Danio rerio: one gene and its partners. The protein of the gene in region 3 purifies or fractionates together with the protein of the main gene of each other region. This does not show direct contact. Links are inferred from orthologs where the notes say so. Each region holds a gene or a part of one and is shown on either strand. Other genes may lie near its edges. The genes, in order: exoc6b, exoc6 and exoc7.

Region 1 (7,728 bases), on a different chromosome or scaffold from region 3:
TCTAGGTCATCTAAGGTCTCATCTGATCACACTGTCAAGTCAAGCATATAACAAAATACATACTTTATGTCATTGTAAACACATCATACGTTCAGGTCAAGTTTATACAGGGTATATGCAAGAACCATAAAGGTAATTTCAATTTCTTTTAAGATTTAAGAAGACCATCTCAGAATATTTTAAGACCTTATCGTTACTTCAAGTTCTAATCAGTCTCAAACCTTTAACTTAATAAACAGTTGTTAATAAACAATTGTAGTTAAATAAATCACTGAAGCAAAACCATGCAACATAATGTGACAGGCTTCAGCCACTGTTTAAACTCGTCTTTCTCCAACCAGGAGTAATAAAACTTCCCATTCCCATCAGTTTCGCTACATGTGGATAGCGTCTCTTCACCTTCTGAAGCTTGACAGGGCATGCTCCGGCCTGAACCAATCGCGTGGGTTGAGTACACTGTTGTTAAAATTAGGAGGAAAATAAATATATTTATGATTTTTGAGTCAAACACTTGGACAACATTTGAACAAAATTTAGGACCACATAAAAACGTGATTAAGATTTTTTAAATATGTTTTAAGGGCCTTAATTTTCTCATAATTGATTTATCAACTTTTAATACTTTTTAAGACCCTGCAGACACCCTGTTATATTTGTCATTAGAGCATAACTGGACCAGGGCTGGTATTCTTAACTGAATTCAATTCACTTACAGCAGGGGTGTCCAAACTCCGTCCTGGAGGGCCATTGTGTTGGAGAGTTTATCTCCAACTTTCCTAAACACACCTGCCAGGAGGTTTCTAGTATATCTAGTAAGAGCTTGATTAGCTGGTTCGAGTGTGTTTGATTAGGGTTGGAGCTAAACTCTCCTGGACACAGGCCTTCCACAACTGAGTTTGGACACCCCTGATTTACAGTGAGTGAATTTGAAGTTAAACAAAAAATAGAAGAACCTCAGCATATTTTATTTTTCAGTTACTTTTCCACATCTTTATTTTACATTCCTACTTCATGTGTATATACTACACTCACAAAAATAAAGGTAGACTGGGGTGGTACCTTTACAAGAGGAACACACTTGTACTTTTAAGAACTAATCCATATCTTAAAAATATCAATATGGCGCCTTTGGGGAGAAAAGTGCAGCTTTTGAAAATTTAGGCTGTACTTTTTAATGAACAAAAAATCCTAAAACAGAAACCACAGTGAAAAAATGCTGGGTTCAATGATTCCTTCATGTTGTGTCACCACAAATGAATATGTTAACTTAATTGGTTTAACAAATGTAAATGAACTGAACTTAAAACAGTCATATTGCTCTTAGAGAAATCAGGAATTGTGTTGACTCATTTTAAGTAAGTAGTTTGAACAAGCATCAAGCAAAAACTTTTTTTGAGTGCAATATACATGTAAAGGCAAAATCATTAGCCCTCCAGTGAAATTTGAATAATTTTTCAAATATTTCCTGATGATTTTACTATTTCCTGATGCTTAACTGAGCAAGGAGAGTTTTCACAGTATTACCTACTAAATTTTCCTATATATAAGAAATTATTATGATTTTAATTTGCCTGAAAAAAAAAATACAAATTTAAAATCTACTATTAGCCCCCTTAAGATTTTTTTTCTCGTTTATTTTCTGAACAAACCACTGTTATGGCTTATTTATACTTCTGCGTCAAGCGCACATGGTCCGGAGCAGTCTTTGCACGGTCGCAAAGCCCAGGTAGGTTTGGTAGCGGTGACAAGTGTGGGCGGTGCTCAGAGCCACGAGCCCAATAGAGCTATTATTTAAGTGTTGAGTCCCGTGAACGAGCTCCAGATGGAAGCTTTGTTTTGTGTTCACCTCAAGATTAAAGTTGTTGCACGTCCTCCGGTTCCTGCCTCAGAATAAGTGCGTGTTAGATACTTGTAGCATTCAGAAATAAACAACACCCGTGAAGAAACTCAACACAGAGGAACATAAAAACCTAACGCCAGCTAGCGTTTTGAAAGTGTTATTGCAGAGCAACACAAACATCACGCAGAAGTATAAAGGCACAACTACGTGCAAGGCAGGAGCCGTGGGTCACACCGATCACTCAACGCTGAACTATAAATCAGCCTTTAACATGTTAATTACCTAATTAACTTAGGTTAGTCTTTAAGCTTAGTACTAGTACCTTACAAAATTTATGCACATGGCAAAGACAAAAGAAATGAGCTATTAGAAATAAGTTATTAAAACTCTTGTTTAAAATGTGTAAAAAAAAATCTCAATTAGACAGAACTTTAGAAATATTTGAAAAATAATACAAATTTCACTGGAGGGCAAATAATCCTGTCTTTGACTGCATGTTTAAGGTCTCATTTGTTACCATTAATTAATGTGTTAACTAAAATGACTTACCACTGAGAAATATATACATATATTATATATATATATATATATATATATATATATATATATATATATATATATATATATATATATATATATATATATATATATATTTTTTTTTTTTTTTTTTTTTTTTTTAAATCTTCAATAACATTACTTGATGTTAGGTCACATGTTAGGTTTGATCCTGTTCAGCAGAATTTCTAAGACAACTGCAATCCTTCAAAATTGCCTACAAGAACACAAGCATCAGAACTGGATATAAGCACAGTGGAAGAAGGTTATCTGGTCCAATAAATCCAGTTTAATTTGACATCATCTGGATGGCTGTGTGCTGTTTACCTGAGGAAGTGATGCACTGTGGCTGATGACAAGCAGTTGGAGGAAGCATGACTCTATGGACAATGTTTTGCCAGATAATCCTGGCACCAGCCATTCATGTGGACAAACCACTGTTGGAGACAAAGTATAGCCCTTCATGACAGTGACATTCCCTGGTGGATAAGGCCTCTTTCTGCAGGATAATGAACTGCCACACATGCACTTACAGATCAGAAATGCTTTGACAAAGATGAATCTAATTAGGCATCTGTGGGTTTATAATTATATCACACAGGATTGATGCAACCTACCTGACTTAAATTATCTGTAGATGTCTTGGTGCCAAAAAATCTTCCGTGGTCTTGAAGGGTAAGTGCATCAGTATCAGTTAGCATCAATAGCATATGAAGTACTGTAGGTCAAAATCTTTCAGCTCACCTTGAGAAGATGACCAGTGATAAAGAATTAAACCTTATTGTAATGTGTTCCAAAAAATGAATCAAACCAATTACAAAACTAACAAAACATGTCAAATAAAAACAAGGCATTTGTGTATTTTCATGTTTTGGCCCCGTTCTCAATCCATTTCTTTGTGCCACATTAAAAATGGGATGCAAAATAAAAGTACAGCACACGTTTTTGATGTATAACGCATTTGCTGGCATGTGCTAAATTTATTAGTATTGTAATATTCATAAGTGGTTTAAAATAACAATCTGTACAGTGCATTTCTCTGGAGTCAGTTCTGCTCTCTACAACCAGAGTGGTCCGCTAAGGCTGAATGTCCTCATGCACACTCACACACACCAACACACGTCCATACCTTGCTTATACATCCAGGTGCTGTGCGGAAATCAGTTATTGGCATGGAAAAAAAGTCAAGGCACAAACAGGAAGAGCTGAACCAAGAAAACAGCCTGAAATAATTTGACACTGTGCTTGTTCCGTCTCTAAACATGAAGAATTCCCTTTATAGTTTGCATCCATTGTAAGCGACAGGCTTCAATACACAAAGTAAAATGAAAAGAAAAAAACTCCCTTTAAACAAACAAACAAACAAACAATCTTTGCTACCTAAAACTCTTTGAATTTGAAAAGGAAAAATGGCATGTAATATTGCACCCGCAATCCTATCAGTAGAAATATTACCGTTAAGGGAAGACAACATGGTTTAAATACTAAAAGCATTTTATATTAGTTTTAATGTACAATGTGACTGTATAATTGTGCTATTACCCTGCATCATTTCATCAAGTTCCTCCACTTTACACATCTTCACTCAGTTCTTGCAATGAATGCTGGGTGATATATCTGACTACAAGAGACATACAGTGCGTCCATATACTGCATATTGGAAGTACAATCAAAAACATGTTTTTGACTGCGAACTAATCTTCTTAGGTCAAAAGGTATTAAGCTACAGTATAATCTACATCTTGGCTGTAACAGACAAAAGCTGAAGTACTGAATGTCTAGTATACAATTACTACAAATGAAAGATTTAACAAGGGCAGTAACTGGACTCCTTGTATTAAGAACTCCATCAAACGTCCCTCATTATGATTAGCACTCAGATGAACCCTTGACCCCTCAAATGACAATATTATTTCCTATTCTCAAAGATATTGAAGATATTTATTCTTGTTCAACCTTCTTCTGAAGAACACAAAATGAAATGCTTAGAAGCACTTAGACGCATTTCTCAAAACACATTTGTGTTCCACAGAGGAAAGAAACGATGAATAAATCATGACAGAACTTTCATATGTGGTTGAACGATCCTTTTAAATTTGATCTGTAAGACATCACAACAGCAATATTCAAGCCTAGTTAGTGTTCCAATTTTCTGCAATTTAATATTCACATTATAGTGTAACTGTAGCTGAAAATTGAAAAAAGGGGATAAATAATACTTAAGAACTACATATAAAGGCAGTTCAACGTATGACAGCAAATTAGTGTGATGGAAAAACGGTTCTGTTGTAAGACGCTTAATACACAAATAATAAAACACAACCAAAGAGCAAAATGTGATTTGGTGTCCTTAATGTGTTGAGACAGTCCCGCAGGAAGACATGGACACCGCATCACACAGGCACGGGATGGTTTAGCAGACGCACCTTTCATAGAGGTGCATCTATATGCGCATGTTAGTGCAAATGTCTGTGTGAAAAGAATAATACGTCCAGCTACTAGAGATGTGCCAGAGCAGTCCACACGCTCATCGTGACGTGGGGTCATTCGCTGAAGCATTGGCTTTCTCAGGCTTGGTTGGAGGCAATGAGATTTCTCAGCTGTTTGACAACGGTGTCTATGAGCTTCTGCTTGTCCCGTTCGTTTTTACGGAACTGGGCAAACATGTTGTTCTTGCGGCTGGTGTCCTTCATCCTGCACACAATGAAGCATATGAGAACATTAGATAATAAAAACAGACAGATACAACTCAATGGTCAAATATGGTTAAAAAAAAACTGGATGGACTCTAGAAAGATTCTTGCCCAATGGCTGTGCTTTCTCTAAAGTTTATTTATGATAAAATGTCTTTGTATTTGTTTAAACGATAGTTGTATGAATCTTTAAAGGACCCTTGAAGATCTTTGAAATGTGCATTTTTTTACTCGATGTTGTCATAATGCCAGCTGAAAAAATGAAGAGAAGGTGGGACAGAGTAGCTCGTCCCCTTTTACCAAATCAGCCAATGGCATTGTTTTTTCTCACAGCTCTGCCAGTGAGAGTGATTGAGATCTTGTGCATCAAATGAAAAGCAAATGTGAAGGGTCTTGAAGGGGGCGGGGCATGTCAGATACTAGAGAGTATTTGATTGGTCAGGATTTGATGAGAAACTGAAGTTTGAGGATAGGTGGAAAAAATTGTTGATTTATTTAGACAGAAATGACAAACTGCAAGATTTACATGTTTATATCGGTTTTAAATGTTCTAAATGTGATTTTTGTCACAGTTTTGGAGCACACCAACATATAGATGTCCTTAAAACTAACAGACTAAAACTTACATCTTACAACATTTTATTTTAATTTCATAGGACCTTTAATTCACCCACAAAAGCACTCATTAATCAAATGGTTTATGTTTATTTTTCTTTCTATCAACACCCCCCCCCCCCCCCCCCAAATAATGTGTTGTTACCCTGTAGACGAATAATTAGTAAAATAAGTAATTTTTTAAATCTAAAAAAAAAAAAAAATCAATTAATTAAAATCGGGCTGTACATGTAAGCAGCCTGTGCTGATATCCAATTTGTTTCAGAACATTTAACTAAAATACATTTCTCTTGTAACTACATCTCTTTTCTGAAGATGCGTTACTGACACAACTGCAGGACAATAACCTGTCGATAATCAGAGATCAACCAAAAGCAACCAAAAGCAATTCATTTAAAAATATATTGTTTGAACAGTTGTTTCATAGAGTATGCATAAAAACTCTGAACTTTGACTAGAACAAATAGAGAACAAAAAAGTAGCATGGGTTCACTACAGCCCAATCCAACAAAATGCATAATTTAGTTGACAGCTAGCTCTCTGCAACTCTCACATGGTCACCACCTGAAGCCAAGCAGGGCTGCGCCCAGTCAGTACCTGGTTGGGAGACCACATGAGAAAGCTAGGTTTCTTGCAAAAAGTGGTGTAAGTGGCGAGGCCTGTACTCTGTGTGGGTCCTAACGTCCCAGTATATTGATGGGGACTCTTTACTGCTCAGTGATCGTCGTCTTTTGAATGAGACTTTAAACTGAGGTCCTGAATCTCTGAGGTCATTAAAAATCCCAGGATGTCCTTCCAAAAAGAGTAGGGGTTTAACCCCAGCATCCTGGCCAAATTCGCCCACTGGCCTCTTGACTATCTCCATATCGTAATTGGCTTCATCACTTTGTCTCCTCTCCACCAATCAGCTGTGCAGTCTGGCACAATATGGCTGCCATTGCATCAACCAGGTGGATGCTGCACACTGGTAGTGGTCGAGTAGATTCCCCTCAAAAGCCGTGTAAAGCTATTTAAGTGTCCAAAAAAAGCGCTACATAAATGCAAGGAATTATTAAATTATTATAATTAATACAACCTGAAAGTAACATAAGAAATCATGCCATGCCAGTTAAAGCGTGTTGCACAACTAAAGAACTAAAGGAAGGGCACAGACTGTGTGGTTAAGGCACACACTCATAGGGTGCTTTAGTGCAGGAACCTTGAAGCTATCCTGCAAAGAGGTTCTAATGAGCCTGCTCACTTTCCTGCCATCTGTGCCAAACTCTCATTCCCAGTAGCCTGGGGATCACCCAGCCAATGCATACACATTCCTCACATTCACAACCAGCCAAACCGTGGCACTGCTCTCAGCACCAGGCTGACAAAATACCAAAGTGACGCATCATCATTCAGGCATTGAAAAAAAACATTCTTTTGATGTGTATAGTCTATCATCCTCAGCTTGAAAATGTAAGGGCAGTATATTAGGGAAAATAGTTGATGAAATTTAATGAGATGAGTGAGGGTAAATGAGAGTGAACCGCTGAACTGTCTATTCACATTATCCTTCAGAAGTCATTAGGATGTGCTAATTTAGTACTTAAAAACAATATTTTTGGGTTGACGCCTCTTGGAAATTTGCATCATAGCCAAAAATAGAAGAGTTGCTAATTCTGATTTTAGGATGACTAATAGTAGGGAAAAATCTAGAAAATGGTGAACCTAAACTTTGTTGCAACAAACCATTTTAATAACATTCACAGATTTCATAGAATCCATAAAAAACTACTAGGTTTAGAATAAGGGCCTTTCGAATACAGTAACTCTGTTTACAAAAATAAAAAAGTGAGTCTGTTAGCGAAGCATTTTAATCACCACTCACTAATTCAACTTAATAAACAAACTCTGTCAATCTTATTTATTAAAAGTAATTAGGCAAGATAGCCATGACACATACGCATGACTGTATTGCCATACTGGTACGCATCACAGCTTTATCTTAGAGTCACCTGTGACTATGGTGGTGATAAGAAACACCTCCTCATA
Region 2 (8,439 bases), about 39 Mb from region 3:
CATTTAACTTGTAGCAACCCAAAGAAATTAGGTTGATAACTCAATTTTTCCACACTAATGAAGTTAATTTTTTTACGTCCACACACTGATGTTTTTTTGTTATTTTTATACTGATAATATGGAAAAGTACATGAGTACATTGTTTTGTAAAACAATGAAAACCTGTTGTTTGATACAAATAAAAAATTCCCAGAAAACAAAAATGTTTTTGTTAAATGTATTTCTTACAAGCATGAACAGTAAATTTAAAAACCAGCAAAAAATTAAACAATTTCAGCTACTTAATTCATTTGAGATTCTAAGCCTGAAAGCATGCATGTAAACAAGTACATAACACTGGATTTGTTTTCAATAATTGCTAATTGAAACAACTTATTTTTTTGAGTACTTGACTTAAAAAAGTTAGCTTTTTGCGATTTAAAATTGCCTCTGATTGAAGAGCAAAAGATTTGGCTAACATAATAAAGTTTGTTTTCTGAACCTCATTTTGTTAGATGTTGTCGCAACTTGAATATATTAATGCAAACTGTTGTGTTAATTTTTTGTTTTTGTTTTGTCTAAACAATATTTTTAGAGTGCAAATTATATTTCTATATTTATTACATTTCTAAAGGTGCCATGACTTGAAATTTTCAATATTTTAACAACCAAAGAAATCTAAACATGCAAAGAAAACAAATCGAATTAGTTCACAAATCAAGTTATGCAAAACAAAATGAAATGGCGCAAGGAAAAAGTATTGAACACATGTAGGAAGGATGGTGTAGAAAGGCAGTGAAAGCCCAGACAGCAGCTGAAATCTCTTAGTAGTTCTTCAGCAACCCTCTGCCCTTCGTCAATGTAAATGAACATTAGCTGCTTCAGTCCAATATTTACATTACGGGATGATGATGGTGAAACCAGAGTGGACATTTCAGCAAGACAATGATCCAAAACACAGCCAAGGAAACTCTGAAATGCTTTCAGAGAAAGGAAATCAAGCTGTAGAATGGCCAAGCCAATCCCCTGACCTGAATCTAATATAAAATACACAATATTAGTAGTTCAGTACTTTCTCTCTTTGGGTCATTTCATTGTTATTACACAAGACTAATGTTTCAGATTTCCTATGTTTTGGATTCATTTATGTTTAAGGTTCATGAAACCCTTAATGTCAACGCCAAACCTATATTTTTTAAGAGGATATTTCACCGGAAAATAAAAATAGAGTCATTTACTTACCCTCAAGTGGTTATAAACCTTTATGTGTTTCTTTCTTCTGTTGAACACAAAATAAGATATTTTGAAGTGCGCTGAAAGCCTGTAACCATTGACATCCATAGCAGGAAAACAAATACTATGGATGTCAGTGGTTAGAGGTTTTCAGCTTTCTTCAAAATATCTTCCTTTATGTTCAACAGACGAAAGAAACTCATAAAGGTTTGAAACAAGTGAAGGGAGAGTAAATGACGACAGCATATTTATTTTTGTGTGAACTATCCCCTTAGTAGTGAATAGGCATAATGGACAAAATTCATATGATGGCATGCCAGCAAGTGCTGAAATCATCACATCCAGTCACAGATACAGTGAAGCTCGGGGCAGAATATTAATTTCCCAGCTCCAGACTCATTTGCTAACGCCACACCCACGACATTTCGTCAGCTCTACCATAGCTGAAATTTGTTTGCAAAGGGAAATGAAGTGAATACTGCCGTGTTTAACCTAAAAATTCGGTCTAAATGTAAAGAAATGACGCTATGTTTATCTGCGAGCTTTCCACCTGTCGACAGCTCAGTCATATCCATAATGCAGTGATGCCGTCACTGGGCCTCAGATGCTTCAAGTCAGATGTTTACATCTTATATTAGCTATTACATCACAACATCAACCAGGAAAACAGACAAATGAATGGCTAATTACGACAAATAATCCTCTTATAACATCAGTCAATCGCACACGAATGACAGGAAAACAGCGATCAGCAGCCTGTGCCATTGAATGTATGTGTACAGTATTAGCAGAGCATACAGAGTCCATTTAAATAATTATGACGGATTAACATGGGTACAAACATTCACGTTCAACAGATAAGCACTTTATTCGACAGATTCATCAGCAATGACATAAAGTCCTGCTGAGCTGCATCTTTAGCAAACAAAGGCCTGCTTTCCATCCATCAGACAGAGGGAAACATCACGTCACCAGCTGAACGTTAAATAAGAGCAGACGATGCACATCTCTCACCGTAAAGTCGGCCCCAGACACGCAGTGTCCGTGCTCTCGATCTCTTGTAATATTCGTTCATGTTCGGTGATAGTCTCCAAGCTCTCGCTCTCCGCCATGTTGGCTCTAAGCGTCACAGTGTTCATATGTGACAATGCCGAAAGAGATGCAGTGACACGACTCCGCCGGAAGAGGGAGCAGAGCCTTTGCAGGTCAGACTGAAAGCTCGATAGAACGTCAATAGTTGGGAGATTTTGTGCTATGCGGATTGAGCAGAGCTAAAATACTAAGTTTATACTTATACACGTGTTCAAGTATGCTTTCTTTGAATATAGATGGCACAAATTTCACCTCAACACATTTAAAGAACTGAAATGTTCTTCTTAAAGGGGTAATTCACCAAACAAAGTCTAAATTAACATAGTATATTCACTATTTTCTCATCCTTAAATGGTTTCATATCTTTATATTTTCTTCTTGTGTTGAACACAAAAGAAGATATTGTGATTAATGTTGTAAACAGGTAATCATTAAGACCCATTGTAGAGAAAAACAAATGCTATGAAAGTCGATAGTTACTGATTTTCAGTCTTTTTTGTCAAAATAATTGCTTTAAAGAGAGAGTTCACCAAAAAAGTTGGTGTTAATGTACTCACTTAAAAAAATTAAAGTTTTTTTGTTAAAACCGTGCTCCTCTGTGATTCATAAAAAGGTCCTTTAGTATTTTACAGTCAAAATATAGGCTATTAACGGGCAAAGTAAAATTAATAAGGCTCTTGTATACAACTACAGCAAAATGATTAGCCTGTTTAAGAAATCGAGCATTATTTTATATCATTATTCAGTTTAACTCACAGCCTCAGCAATAATATAATTAATATTCATTTACTTGCATGATACCTTAATGTATTGTAAGGAGCTACGAGTATTAAATTTGTTTTGCCTGTATTTTGTTATTTTTGTACTCTCAAAGTTATCAAGGTATACCGCGGTTTGAAAAAAAATCAAGGTTTTTTCAAAACTGCCAAAATTTTCTGTAATACCGTTTCTAAGGTATGTGTACGATTTTTTTTTTTCATTTAAAGGTCCACATTATCTCCAGCAGAAAAGACATCCGAAGATGCTGATTTAAATTGTAAATAAATCTGTGTTTTTGAAACTAATAAAGACAGCAGAAGTCAATGATTCATTTGAATTATTTAGCCTGACATGTTTACTGCTCCAAAAAAAAATTTTTTTTTTTAAATATATTGTTTTGAAAGGGGAAAAAGCTTAGTTTTTTTACCCAGACATTTAAAAAGAGTATATTTTAAAAGTTATTATATGGTCAGAATCTTATACCTGGCCATGCCTATCTTCGATTGCTTTAAAATGGGTAAATTAACAGTTCTGTTTCCATTTGTTTGTCATACACCTTTAATTTTGCCAGTACCACCATTATATTATTTAGTCAGCGAAATAGTTTCAAGGTTAACTGATCTAGGTATCTCTGGAAAATAGTCAATACTTTTTGTGTCGATTTGTGGACACATCAGTGTTTTTAGATTGGGACAGTGTCGCTATTATATCTTTATATATAAATATATGTAATTTAATATATATTTGTATTTCATAAACTTCCAGTCAAATATTTGGAATCTTTAGAAGTTTGTTTTTTCAGAGAAGTATTTTGTAGTAAAATAAAGTAAAATGACAATGTGAAATATTATTCATTTATTCATTTTCTTTTCGGCTTAGTCCCTTTATTAATCAGGGGTCGCCACAGCAGAATGAACCGGCAACTTATCCAGCATATGTTTTACGCAGCGGATGCCCTTCTAGCTGCAACCCATCACTGGGAAACACCCATACACACTTATTCACACCCATACACACCCACACTTATTCATACACCCATAAGTTAAATTTGATCATACCCAATTCACCTACAGTATACCACATGTCTTTGGAAAACGGAGCACCCAGAGGAAACCCATGCCAACACGGGGTGAACATGAAAACTTATACAGTGCATAATTTTATCCCTCCATCCATCCATTCATTCATCAATCTCTCTGAATTTTTAGTTTTCTGATATGCTGATTTGATGCTCAAGAATCATTTTAATTTATGCTAATTACAATCTATTTATAAACGGATATATTACTAAATAGAACATTTATTCCTCAAAGGAACTTTTTTGTTTTCAAATAGTAGTTTTACTCAGTTTCAACAAAAATAATAAGCAGCAAAAACATCAGATTTCAACATCAACAACTGTTACCAAGCACACAAGCTGCATATTAGAATCATTATGGAGAAGCATAATTAGAAGGATAGTTAGGAGCATAATTATGCATAATTAGATTATTTATTATTTATTTTCATCTGAATCCAATAAATAAAATGCACATTGTCATAACGGAACCAAATCACACACAAACAAACACATATTTTTTTTGCTTGTTTAAACTGCTCGTTTAAATTGAGCTGAAACAACACAATTCTTGAGATTTTGGGTGGACAACTTAATTGTTTTATGTTCAATCCGCTTCAGTTTTTTAAGTTAACTTAAATGATTTGTGTTGGAGCAACATGAATGAATTGAGTGTACACTGTAAAACTGCTAGATTCCACACATCTGATTTGTGTTGGGGCAACGTGAAGGAATTAAGTTAACTTATTTATTTATTTATTTAAAAATTTAAGTGGATTGAACATAAACAATTAAGTTGTCCCCAAAAAAACCTCAAGAATTGTGTTGTTTCAGCAAATATTTTTGCACTATGCCTGCATTATCTGTAATAACACTTAATACATTAAAAATAATTATTACATGTCATTGCTTAAAAAAAGGACATATTAAACACAACAAAACATTATTTTATTTCAGTCACTCTACCTTAAACTCGTTCCCAGCGGCAGATCTACTGATTCCAGTTCTGCAAAAACATTCCCATAGACTTTTCCTTCAGCTTTGTCCTCTTCTTGGGGACTGCTGGGGATCTTGAGGCTGCTGCTGCTGTCGTACATGATGGTCTGTGTGCTGGTTTGAACTGTGTTTCCAGCAGGACATGAACACACTACTGTCAGCAGAAAACTGCAGCTGAGGAAAACCGACAGATCTTGTGATCTCTAGTACTTTGAATCCAACAAAACAGGCTTTAAGTGCTGTCCTGTTAAATATTGGCAAATTGTGCTTTGAGATTTATCACACCGCTGGACTGGGATCTGTGCTTTATGGTAGTAAAGTCACTCAAGAAAAGCATATATTGTATAGTATGCTAAATATTTTTGCTTACTGTTAAAAAGTTTAGAATAATAATAAAATAAAAGCTTAATTTACTCTTGATCTTGAAGAGATAGTACACCACAAAAATAAAAATGGTCTTTTTGAGAAACTGTTTGAGCTTCTTTCTCCTGTTGAACACAAAAAAGACATGTTGAATAATTCAACCCAGGCTCATTGTGGAAATGTAGCCCCGTGGACGTTCCTGGAAGCCGCGAAATACGTCCCGGGAGGTACATATTTGTGCAGTTTTTGTTTTTCGCAAATCTGCAAGAGGCCGCAGTGCGCGCTTTTTCGCGTCTCGAACACCTCTCGGGAGTGCGCGCCGTATGCGCCAACGCTGTTCTCACGCGAAAAGCCACCGGAGGCCGCTGTCGAGCGACCACCTGTCCCAAGCGACGATTTACAAAAGCTGTCCGGAAATAAATATATATATAAAAAAAAGCAAAAGCCCTCATCCAATTTTGACTACGTTTTCGGGTTTCGCTGCATTCTCGCCCCGTCACGAACTTGTTCGCTTTTATTTTTTGGATTCTTTTTTTCATCTTACCTGATTTCTGCAACCACTCTTCCCCGGACTCGATCCCGGTCATCGTCGTTGCGGCCGGCTCCTCCTCCTTCTCCGGGCCTCCGCTCTGCCGACGTAACACTGCGAGCTAAGCGGACAAACTGGTTGTGGCGGGAAAGCCCTCCACACGGAGGTGAGCCGTCAGAGCCGACGAAATGCGGCCATATGTACCTCCGGCCATGTAAATCGCAGTCTCCAGAAACGTCCGCGGGGCTTTGTTTTTGGAATGAGCCTGGGTTGGAATATTTTTTCAGCATTCTTCAGAATATCTTGTTTCATGTTCAACAGAACAAAGAAATTCATAAAAGTTTAGAACTATTGAAGTGTGAGTAAATCAACCCAAGCTTATTCTGAAAACGTAGTCTCGTGGACGTTTCTGGAGACTGCGGAATATATTTTTTCTTTTTTTTTTTCGCGAATTCACTAGAGGCCGCTGTGTAGGCTTTTTCGCATCTCAAATGTCTCTCGCGAGTGCCGTTCGCGCGTAAACCCATCAGAGGCTGCTGTCTGACTGTCTGATTGATTGACTGTGCGACCGGCCAATCGGCTGACCCACCCGGCCTTCTCCTTCCCTAAACCGAACCAATTTTACCTATTGACCAGCCCCCCACTTACTTCCCTAAACCCAACCAACAATTTACAAAATTTAAAATAAAAATAAAAGCCCTTGTCTGCTTTTTTTTACCAAGTTTTCGGATATCACCATGTTCTCACCCTGTTACGAAGTCAATCGCTTTACTTTTTGGATTCTTTTTTTGTCTTACCTTATTTTTAGAATGGCTCTTTCCCGAACTCGAACCCGGTCGCCATGGTCAACTCAACTCCACCTCTCTGCATCTGAAAATCTGCTGACGTACACGATGAGCTGACTGAACAAACTGGTTGCGGCGGGAAAGCCCTCCACACGGAGGTAAGCTTTCAGCCGGTAAGCGCGAAAGGGAACAACGTCATACCGCCCCATATCGTTCGCTTAAAAAAACGAAATGCAACCATACATACCTCCCGGGACGTATTTCTCGGCCTCCAGAAACATCCACGGCACTACGTTTTCAGAATGAGCCTGGGTTGGAGTAAATGATGAAGAAATGTTCATTTTTGGGTGAACTAACCTTAGTATACAGTAAAAGCAGAAATATATATATATATATATATATATATATATATATATATATATATATATATATATATATATATATTATATTTAAAATATAATATATTTTAAAATGTCATTTATTCATGTGATTGTTTCAGTCATACTATCCTTAAGCAAATATTATAAACCTAAAGAATAAAGAATGAATCATTAATAAAGAATCATTTCTAATATTTGTTTTAAACCGTTTTTGCTGCTTAAAAGGGCACCTACAGTATGATGAAAATCAACTTTTGTAAGCTGTTTGGACAGAACTGTGTGTGGGTTTAGTGTGTTCAAAGTCATATTGGAGTGATAAAAACCCAATAAGTCTCTATTTTTAAATTTTCTGATGTTAAAATAGGACCCAAATCCCAGTGATTTTGAGGCCCAACACAACGTGACATAGGATTAGTTTTTTCCTGCCCACAAAAAAACAAAAGCATGTTTGTAATAAAGACAGTAAAATCACTATATAATTCTTAACCACTATAATCACCACAGCCACATGGTGTCAGTAAACGCTAATATATGTGTTTGAGTACTGCAAACAGCATTTGTTTGAGACTCATCATGTCAGAAAGGCTTGAATAAACACCACAGATACATGAAACACATACTTGGTATTTTTGACAAATGAGCTGTATTTCAGCTTTATCCATGTCTGCCTTTGTCACTGTGCTGTTTACCTGACATAACGCATGCTGGGCTGGGAGAAGCAACAATTTTGCATTTAAAGCCACAGGCTATACTAAAACATTTACAATGTATTCAGACACCAAAATGGGCAGATTCTGGAGGCTATAATAATAATGATGGGTGTTTTGAGCTGAAGCTTTACGGACACATTCTGGAGACAACAAAGACTTATCCTACATCTTGTAAAAGGGGTAAAATAGGTGCCCTTTAATATTTTGGTGGAAACTGCATTACACGATTCAGATTTTAAGGGAAATAATATAAAGAAAATAAATAAATAAAATGTGTTTTTATTCAGTAGGAAGGCAACTGATCAAATATGTCAGTGAATACATTTATAATTAATGTTACAAAGAATTTCTGTTTAAAAAAAAAACAAAGAACAGAAACTCTGTTCTTTTTAGCTTTCTATTCTTCGAAGATATTTCCAGAAAACATTTAGTCATCAAAGATAAAACTAGATAAAAATAAATAAATGTTTGATCAATAATAATATTAAATATATAATTATAATAACATTTGTTCACATCAGCATATTACAGTGATTTCTAAAAAAATCACGCAGAA
Region 3 (8,554 bases):
ATAGGTGTTCTAATATGTCATACCATATTTGAACGGTTTTCCATGCTTTATTATCTTCCGGTTTGTTTACAACAGCCACCTGCCTGGCATCCCGCCCTGCTGATAGAAACCTGTGTCGCAGGCTATGACGCAAATCTTCGTTGACAGAAATGTTGAAATTAAATATTAATTCTACACACTTTGACAGCATTTGAAAACGTTAAAAACGTTTGTCCTACTATAGAAATCATATTAAAACAAAAAATATATTAACCTCCCCCATCTTTTTGCATTTTCAAACATTTTTGAAAAAGCTCCAGGGAGCCACAAGGGCAGCGCTAAAGAGCCGCGGGTTGCCGACCCCTGGTATAGTCCATTCAACTGCTTTGGTTTCTGTCAGCGTTGCATTTTTGACTGTTTAATGCCATCTAGTGGCTGAATAATGCACAGGTTAGTGTATATTCCATTTAGCTGCTTTTGCTTCTGTCAGCTTTGTGTTTAATTTAAAAACGTGTGTTTAATTAAAAAACAAATAGAATATTACAGCTACAAATAATGTTTTGCATGTAATTTTAATGATTTGTGGTTAGTAGCCATGTAATAAGCGGGATAAAAGAACATCGAGGATGGTTTGTTTTTCATAGAATGAAGCCTTTTAGTCTTATTCAACAGTGTTCTGCTTTGAGTCTGGCTGCCGGTAAATATGTTGGGGTTTAATCTGTGATAATAACCTCCTGCATGTACTTTATCTGTAATAAATTGCAGTCAAAATTTAAAGTGGTTCAATTTTTCTAATAATTCAACGCACTGGTGTCAATTATTCCGCATATACTCTGGTTTCCACAGCTAAAGCCACTGTTAAGATGTTATATTTTACAAATCGGTCAGGTTTTTGACCTCAAACTGCTCCTGTGTGTAGGATTAGTTTCTTCCACATCTCCTCTAAAGCCTTCTGTTGTGCTGTGATGTGATTTTTGACTGTTGTAGCTGTGAAATAACTAAAATCATTTGGTGTGGTCAAATGCAGCTGTAATGAACCCAAAACCTGCCGGAACTGCTTTAGCTGTGCGTTTGTCTGTACACTGTGCAGATTTTAGCACCAACCCTAATCAAACACACCTGAACAAGCTAATCAAGGTCTTACTAGGTATACTTGAATCATCCAGGCAGGTGTGTTGAGGCAAGTTGGAGCTAAACCCTGCAGGGACACCGGCCCTCCAGGAGCGAGATTGGTGACCCCTGCTGTAGAATGTTCATCAGCCAATCAGAATCAAGCAAAAAGTGAAATTAAAACTTTTAATAATAATAATAATAATCAGTGATGCAGTAGGTAGTGCTGTCGCCTCACAGCAAGAAGGTCGCTGGTTCGAGCTTCGGGTGGGTCAGTTGGCATTTCTGTGTGGAGTTTGCATGTACTCCCTGCCTTCGCGTGGGTTTCCTTCGCGTGCTCCGGTTTCCCCCACAGTCTAAAACAGGTGAATTGGGTAGGCTAAATTGTCTGTAGTGTACGAGTGTGAATGAGTGTGTATGGATGTTTCGCAGACATGGGTTGCAGCTGAAGGGCATCCGCTGCGTAAAACATGGATAAAACATGCGTGGACAAATTGGCGGTTCATTCCGCTGTGGCGACCCCGATTAATAAAGGGACTAAGCCGAAAAGAAAATGAATGAATAATAATAATAATAATAAACCATTGAATAGGTGATCACTAACCCTTCCCGGATGATCTTGTCAGTGTCTTTGGCCACGTGATAGTAGCTGATGACGTGATCCATGTTGGACAGTGTTTTATCCACATTCTCCTGCAGCCGCTGCAGATTCTCCGTCTGCTTGTGAACCGGGATGATGGAGTTTTCCAGCTGCATCAGACGACTCTCAAATGACGACAGGATGGACACCTTAAACAAATTAAAACACACGTTCACCATTTCATTCACAAATACCAACCACAAAATAATACTTACAATGGATATATTAGGAAAAAAGCTACTTGTAAAACAAATATCACTGTACAACACTGCTGAGCACTGACTTTACATGATCGAACCAGAATGACACACTAGTGTTATTCACATTTATACAACAGTTCTTTCTGGTTCTTCAATCTGATTGGCTGAGTAGTGGCACGAGTGGCAAGGAGGACAACAGTTTGACAAATACTGCAGCTGTTGGACAACATAATGTACTTTTGAGCCTTTTTAGGCGAGAATGTAGTTGTTGTGATTGCAACTATGCAGTTTATTTATAAGGATAGTGCCTATTTAAATATTTTGAATTTAAGAGCATGCAGATTCAACACGTTGGCAGTCATCAGCCTGTCATACTGAGCAGAGCAAAGACGGTTGACGTTCCTTTTACCCTAATAAATAGACCTAATAATTAGCCCTTAGGTGTTAGCATATATTTCAAACTAAAGCTAAACAAATCTTTACAGAACAGCCAAGTGACTTTCTAAGTCAATCTCTCTTTTGTTTGTTGTATTGCTCTATTTATACCATAGTAATCTGGTAGTGTTTGCTTTGCTTTGGTTTTTTCGGGGTTAATTACAGTGATCTCCCAATTGCAATAGAGAAATACTGGGAGATATCTTTGTAGACTGATGGCATTTCATGCCGTTCAGCTTTATAATCTTAAAATGTGTGCAAAATCAGCTGTTTTGTCATCACTTTAGACATTACGCAAGAGAATCACTCAAACACTAGCTCTAAAGTGACGTTGGTGAATGAGCAGCGGTTTCTACTGTTCTGACGTCAGCTGCAGATGTGAATAAACGGCGGAAGAAAGTAGTTCCTCATACAAAAGGATTTTTGAAACTCTCCATGTCGAATTCTCTTTTGTTATATACACAATTATGCGGTTGAACTGTTGTATAAATGCAATATCACACTCATAGCAGTGTGGTATGGCTGTATATCATGTGACATTAAGATACTCTGTCTGCGGCCTTGAGCCAACACACGCCTCCTACCAGTGCCAATATACAGCCATATCACACTGCTATGAGTGTGATATCACTCATATAAATATAAATCTCTCACCATTCCTTTAGTGAGCTGATCACTCTTCTCCAGGCTTTCACGGATAAAAGAAAGCGTTTCTTGCTCCTGTAGATGATAGATACAATGAACAGGTCAAGACATGTGTTTTTTATTAGTGCTTTATGTTGTTTGTATAGTGTTTTAGTTAAATTCATATAGCAGGATAAAATGGTTTTTGGTTATGAAATTTGCATCTGTGAATATGGTACTTTCTAAATATTATCAAGAAATTATTAACATAAGTTTTCTTCTCTATTTTTTTTTTGTTGTAGTTCAAAAACCCAAATATAATATGTTGCTATTCTAAACGGAAATTTGTCAATAATTTGTCATTTATGAAATTGGTCATTTATCTCGTACCCTATTTTCTTCGATAACTGGCAATTCCAAAACATCTGCGGCACAGTTTCTGGCTGTGATAAACAAACTGAACAGTTTTGATCTATATTATGTCTAAACATTGAAAGAAAATGTTTGACAGGGTAAAATATATTCAGAATTTTAAATGAGACCTCTTTAAATTTGTTTGTAATAAATAATTTGTTAGGCAACGACCATAATTTTTTCCAATTTAAATCTCTGATGAACGCAGACCAATGAGAAATTATCTAGGGTTTACTATTTATGAGTGAATGAAATAATGAACGTATGGCCTTATTTTGGTGAGAAGAAAAACAAATTTTCCCACATAGTGTATCTTTAGGGTGTAACAGAGATATTTCCTGAATATGAGTAACCTTCACAGAGTGAAACAATACATAGGGGAATAGCAGCAAAGACCATTGCAAATTCTATTTAGGACACAGGAAAATTAAAATGTGATAAAAATTCATTAAGTAACCTTGGGAATTTAGTACCTGTCCCACCAAAAAAATTCCTTTTCAAAACAATTTTTTAAGAACAAGCTTTTATGTTTGTACAAAATTACTGTTTACATTTTGTATGCTTGAGATGTATGCAAATTACGTCATTATTTAATTAATTACTCATTTATATGACACAAAAAAACTTGTAATCGAAAAATGTTTGCAACTCTTAATGTTATCAATCAGCTGGGTGTTGATTTCCCTACTCTTTTCACCTGCAGTGTCTTGCTTAATAACACATTTTGTACGCCCCAACAGCTTATTTTATCTCTATTATTCAGCTTTCAATAATCTTTGTGACAGGCAAACAAGCAGATATGACGCTAGTTAAATCGCAAATGACATAAATAACACTGTCAGATCACGGGATTCTCATGTTATGCTTCATTCTTCCCGTTTTTCCTCTGTTTAACAGACCTGTTTGAGTTTCTCCTCAATCTCCCGCTTTCTGGCGGACGCGTCTTCGGTTGGGATCATCCTGATGGTCAGAAACACGATGGAAAATACAACTGGACCGTCCGGACCAATGTAAAATACACAATAATATTACAACATTAACCCGAAGACAGCGATAAACAACACGACACAAACGGAAGCCAGTGAAGTACAAAATAAAAGTCCTTTCTGAACCAAGTGTATCAAATGAAACAGAAGCAAAACAATATTCACTATTAAAAAGAAATACATATATGACGACAAAAAGGTAAAAAGTGTACTTAAATGAAGTGCGGCAGGAATTTATAACTACTAAAATGACAAGAAACATAGTGATATTCAATTTATATACAGTATTTATAACGCAACTGTATATACTTATATTATACATATTACCAAATTGTAGTAACATACACAGTAAAATTACATATTATAAATGCATATTTTTTTACGATTATAACAATTTATTATCAATTCAAGTTTCTCAAAATCTTCGAGACTGAAGTTGTTAGGGATATATTTAGTTAACGACTACTAAATATATGTATTCATAAGATCTTAATTTTTATAATATCCTTACCAAACAAAATTATATACAAAATAAAGTTGAATAAAGACATACACTAAATCAAAACACATGAACGCATACACCTTTAACCATGCACCAAGCAACGCTTTAATCACGAGTGCTTTCAAAATCCATGGGACTCTTATTTTGATGAAAAAACCTGATGGTGTGATAGTTGCTTCACCTTCACTGTCTGGTCAGAGATTTAGGGAGGCTCCTGCTGTCAGATTGTCCTACCTCCCATTCAAAAAGTAGGTAGTATGCAACCCATCAGATTTTGCTATAAGTGTAAATGTTAATGTGGAGCAGTGTCATATGAAGCTGTAATATCACCCTAACCTACCTAATCCCTAACCCCAATCTCAGAACCATTCAAACACAGTGTTGGTAGCATATTCTGACAAGTAGGATAAAATGTCAGGACACTCTCTTTATTTTTTCATTCACTCAATATGACACAATCATAAACTTTCATAAAGCACACAATCTCCCCTTCCTCCAAAAATAATTTACAGCAGTATATAAATATGTACATCTGTCAACAAAACAGAAGCGTAATGCATGGTGTCATGCAACGTTAAGTAACAAAACACTCTGTTAAGTTCATTATTTAAAAAAAAACATAATATAAAGTTAAAGATATCTATAAATGTTAAAGAATTAGTTAACAGGTTGTGATTGTTACACTACAAGGAAAAAAAAAACCACAATTCAGCCAAGTGACCCTTTTAGCTCACTTAATATCAGTCTGTTTTATAAAATAACATAATAAAAGTTCACTGATGAGTGATTTCTCAAGGTCTGCTCCTTTTTAAGACTCCTCTTGTTTTGTGAAAGCCTGCAATAAACATAAACAACGTCACGTACTTTTTCATTAAACTAGGATGATTTGAAGAAGATATTTAAGATGACTTGTAATAATAAGTCACAGACCTGTTTCAGAAACTGCCTTCCGAAGTAATTTGTTGCCATGTTCTTCAGGTTTGTTCGGGCTCCTACTTTACAGCGCACATATCCGTACAGATTAGCTCCCTGTAACACCACACCCAAAATCACCACCGCCTGAAAGAGAAAGCAACGTTACTCACAGACACTCACATATTCAAGACCACATGAGTTCATACACAATCAGATATAAATTGTATTTATTTATAGTAGGGCTGCACGATATTGGAAAAATCTGATATTGCAATACTGTATTTTAGACAGCTAGAATAAAAGCAGTTATTAATTTTTTAAACACCATTTTAAGGACAATATTATAAGACCCTTTAAGCTATATATTTTTTTGATAGTCTCCACAGATCAAACCACTGTTATACAATAACTTGCCTAATTACCCTAACTTGCCTAGTTAACCTAATTAACCTAGTTAAGCCTTTAAATGTCACTTTAAGCTGTTTAGAAGTGTCTTGAAGAATATCTAGTCTAATATTATTTACTGTCATCATGGCAAAGATAAAATAAATCAGTTATTAGAAATGAGTTATTAAAACTATTATGATTAGAAATGTGTTGGAAAAATAATCTCCTCGTCAAACAGAAATTGGGGGAAAATATAAAAAGTGGGGCGAATAATTGTGACTTCATTTTACATTTACATTTAGTCATTTAGCAGACGCTTTTATCCAAAGCGACTTACAAATGAGGACAAGGAAGCAATTTACACAACCAAGAGCAACAATGAATAAGTGCTGTAGGTAAGTTTCAGGTCTGTAAAGTCTAAGAAGGGAAGTATAAGTAGTATTAGTATTTTTTTTTTTTTTTTTTTTTTTGGTACAGTTAGTGTGATATTCAAAGAGGCAATTACAGATTAGGAAGTGTAGTGGAGACTAAATAGTTGAGTTTTTAGTCGTTTCTTGAAAGTAGCGAGTGACTCTGCTGTTCTGATGCAGTTAGGGAGTTCATTCCACCAACTGGGCAGATTGAGCGTGAGCGTTCGCGAAAGTGATTTCTTCCCCCTTTGGGATGGAACCACGAGGCGACGTTCTTTCACAGAAGGCAAGTTTCTGGCGGGCACATAGATCTGCAGAAGCGAGAGCAGATAAGAAGGAGCAAAGCCAGAAGTCGCTTTGTAGGCAAACATCAGAGTTTTGAATTTGATGCGAGCAGCAACTGGCAGCCAGTGCAAACGGACTAGCAGCGGAGTGACATGTGCTCGTTTAGGTTCATTGAAGACCACTCGTGCTGCTGCATTCTGGAGCAGTTGAAGAGGCTTGATAGAGTTAGCTGGAAGCCCAGCTAGTACTTCAACTGTATATATATATATATATATATATATATATATATATATATATATATATATATATATATATATATATATATATATATATATATATATATATATATCAATTAAATGGTTTCAATAGATGGTCTGAATAGCTCCATTTGACGTTCTTCTGAGGGATCTATCAGTATTCAGGCACAGAAATTGAATTATCACAATGCAAGTTACTCAGCGTTTCTAGTCCAAATATCTAAAGATATAATTTTATTTTAACTTTCAGAAATAATAAGTCAAAATTAACTAGGATTTTTCTTAAACAAGCAAAATAATCTTGTTATAGGGTAAAAATGTAGATATTTGGACAAGTGAAAATACAAAAAAAAAGAAATATTGTAAGAAAAGCGTTTTTTGTAAATGTAAAACAACACTATATAGTCTTCCTTTTTTAAATAATTAAATACAATTAATCTTACACCTCCAAAAGTCGAATCTCTGTGCCCAAATGTTTTAAACTCTTTTAAAATGCTCATACAGTCACAGGACATAAACACATGTAAATAATAAACCTTCACTCTATCATGGTTAAACTTTGCAGTGACTGTTAAAATCCTGTGTTTTGTGGCTCATCTATAATCCAGACTCCACATTGCGACATCAGCGCTGAAATGATGTTGTGCAGCCCTAATTTATAGTTCTGCTGCCTTCACACATGCTATCGGAATGATCATAAATAATGCTGTTAAATTTGAAGCATTTATATATAAAAATAAATATACAGTACACATGCACATTTCATAAAAAATAACGTTTATTTTGTATATGATTGGTCAGGATTCATCTTTAAAAGCATGAATCATAAACACCAGTTTGCAAGTATCTGAAGCCATAATTACTGCTGGTAAAACTCTTGAGGTGAATTAACATAATAATTAATTAATATGTGAATTGGGAGGGACTGAAACTTTAAAAACGATGGAGTTTGCAATAAAAAAATTACTTACCAGCCATTTAATCTTGAAGGAGATGAGTGTAGAGAAAGCAAAGATGACCCAGATGATGGGACAGATGACCAGACCCAGCCAGAAGATACGAGACTCTGAGTTTGAGCTCCGAGATGCTGAAGACTGATTCCCGCTGGCCTGAACACAAGCACATCAATACAGAGAGGATGCAAAATTACACAATGCAAAAAAAAAAAAAGACTAATTACAAATTAAGTCACATATTTAGTTTGCTTAAAGGATTATTTTAAACAGAAATAAGCTGCTTGACAGTTTTTTTAAAAATCCAAATTCAAACCAAAAGTGTTTATGTGTGTGTATGTATATGCATGTATTTAATTACATATGCATATTTTCTGTGATTTCCTATACACATTTAACGTATTGAACTTTTCTTCCTTTACTGAATTAATAATGACTGTTAAGTTGACTTTGTGTT

The links.
Region 1: the proteins of exoc7 (region 3) and exoc6b purify together in Homo sapiens (affinity purification with mass spectrometry; 3 studies listed by BioGRID and IntAct, with this or other methods). This does not show direct contact. The link is inferred for Danio rerio from reciprocal best matches to the Homo sapiens genes EXOC7 and EXOC6B.
Region 2: the proteins of exoc7 (region 3) and exoc6 purify together in Homo sapiens (affinity purification with mass spectrometry; 4 studies listed by BioGRID and IntAct, counting the BioPlex papers as one, with this or other methods). This does not show direct contact. The link is inferred for Danio rerio from reciprocal best matches to the Homo sapiens genes EXOC7 and EXOC6.

The regions. Positions count from the first base shown.
Region 1 is NC_133182.1:25,278,078-25,285,805, reverse strand, and holds the end of exoc6b (exocyst complex component 6B), read right to left. Parts: intron 5,090-7,728; coding exon 4,963-5,089; 3' UTR 3,338-4,962; downstream 1-3,337. UniProt on the Homo sapiens protein: Component of the exocyst complex involved in the docking of exocytic vesicles with fusion sites on the plasma membrane.
Region 2 is NC_133187.1:9,637,733-9,646,171, forward strand, and holds the start of exoc6 (exocyst complex component 6), read right to left. Parts: upstream 5,234-8,439; 5' UTR 5,218-5,233; coding exon 5,087-5,217; intron 2,356-5,086; exon of another isoform or gene 2,352-2,355; coding exon of another isoform or gene 2,227-2,351; intron 1-2,226. UniProt on the Homo sapiens protein: Component of the exocyst complex involved in the docking of exocytic vesicles with fusion sites on the plasma membrane.
Region 3 is NC_133187.1:48,855,433-48,863,986, reverse strand, and holds the start of exoc7 (exocyst complex component 7), read right to left. Parts: upstream 4,472-8,554; 5' UTR 4,362-4,471; coding exon 4,302-4,361; intron 3,137-4,301; exon of another isoform or gene 3,085-3,136; coding exon 3,019-3,084; intron 1,879-3,018; coding exon 1,694-1,878; intron 1-1,693. UniProt on the Homo sapiens protein: Component of the exocyst complex involved in the docking of exocytic vesicles with fusion sites on the plasma membrane.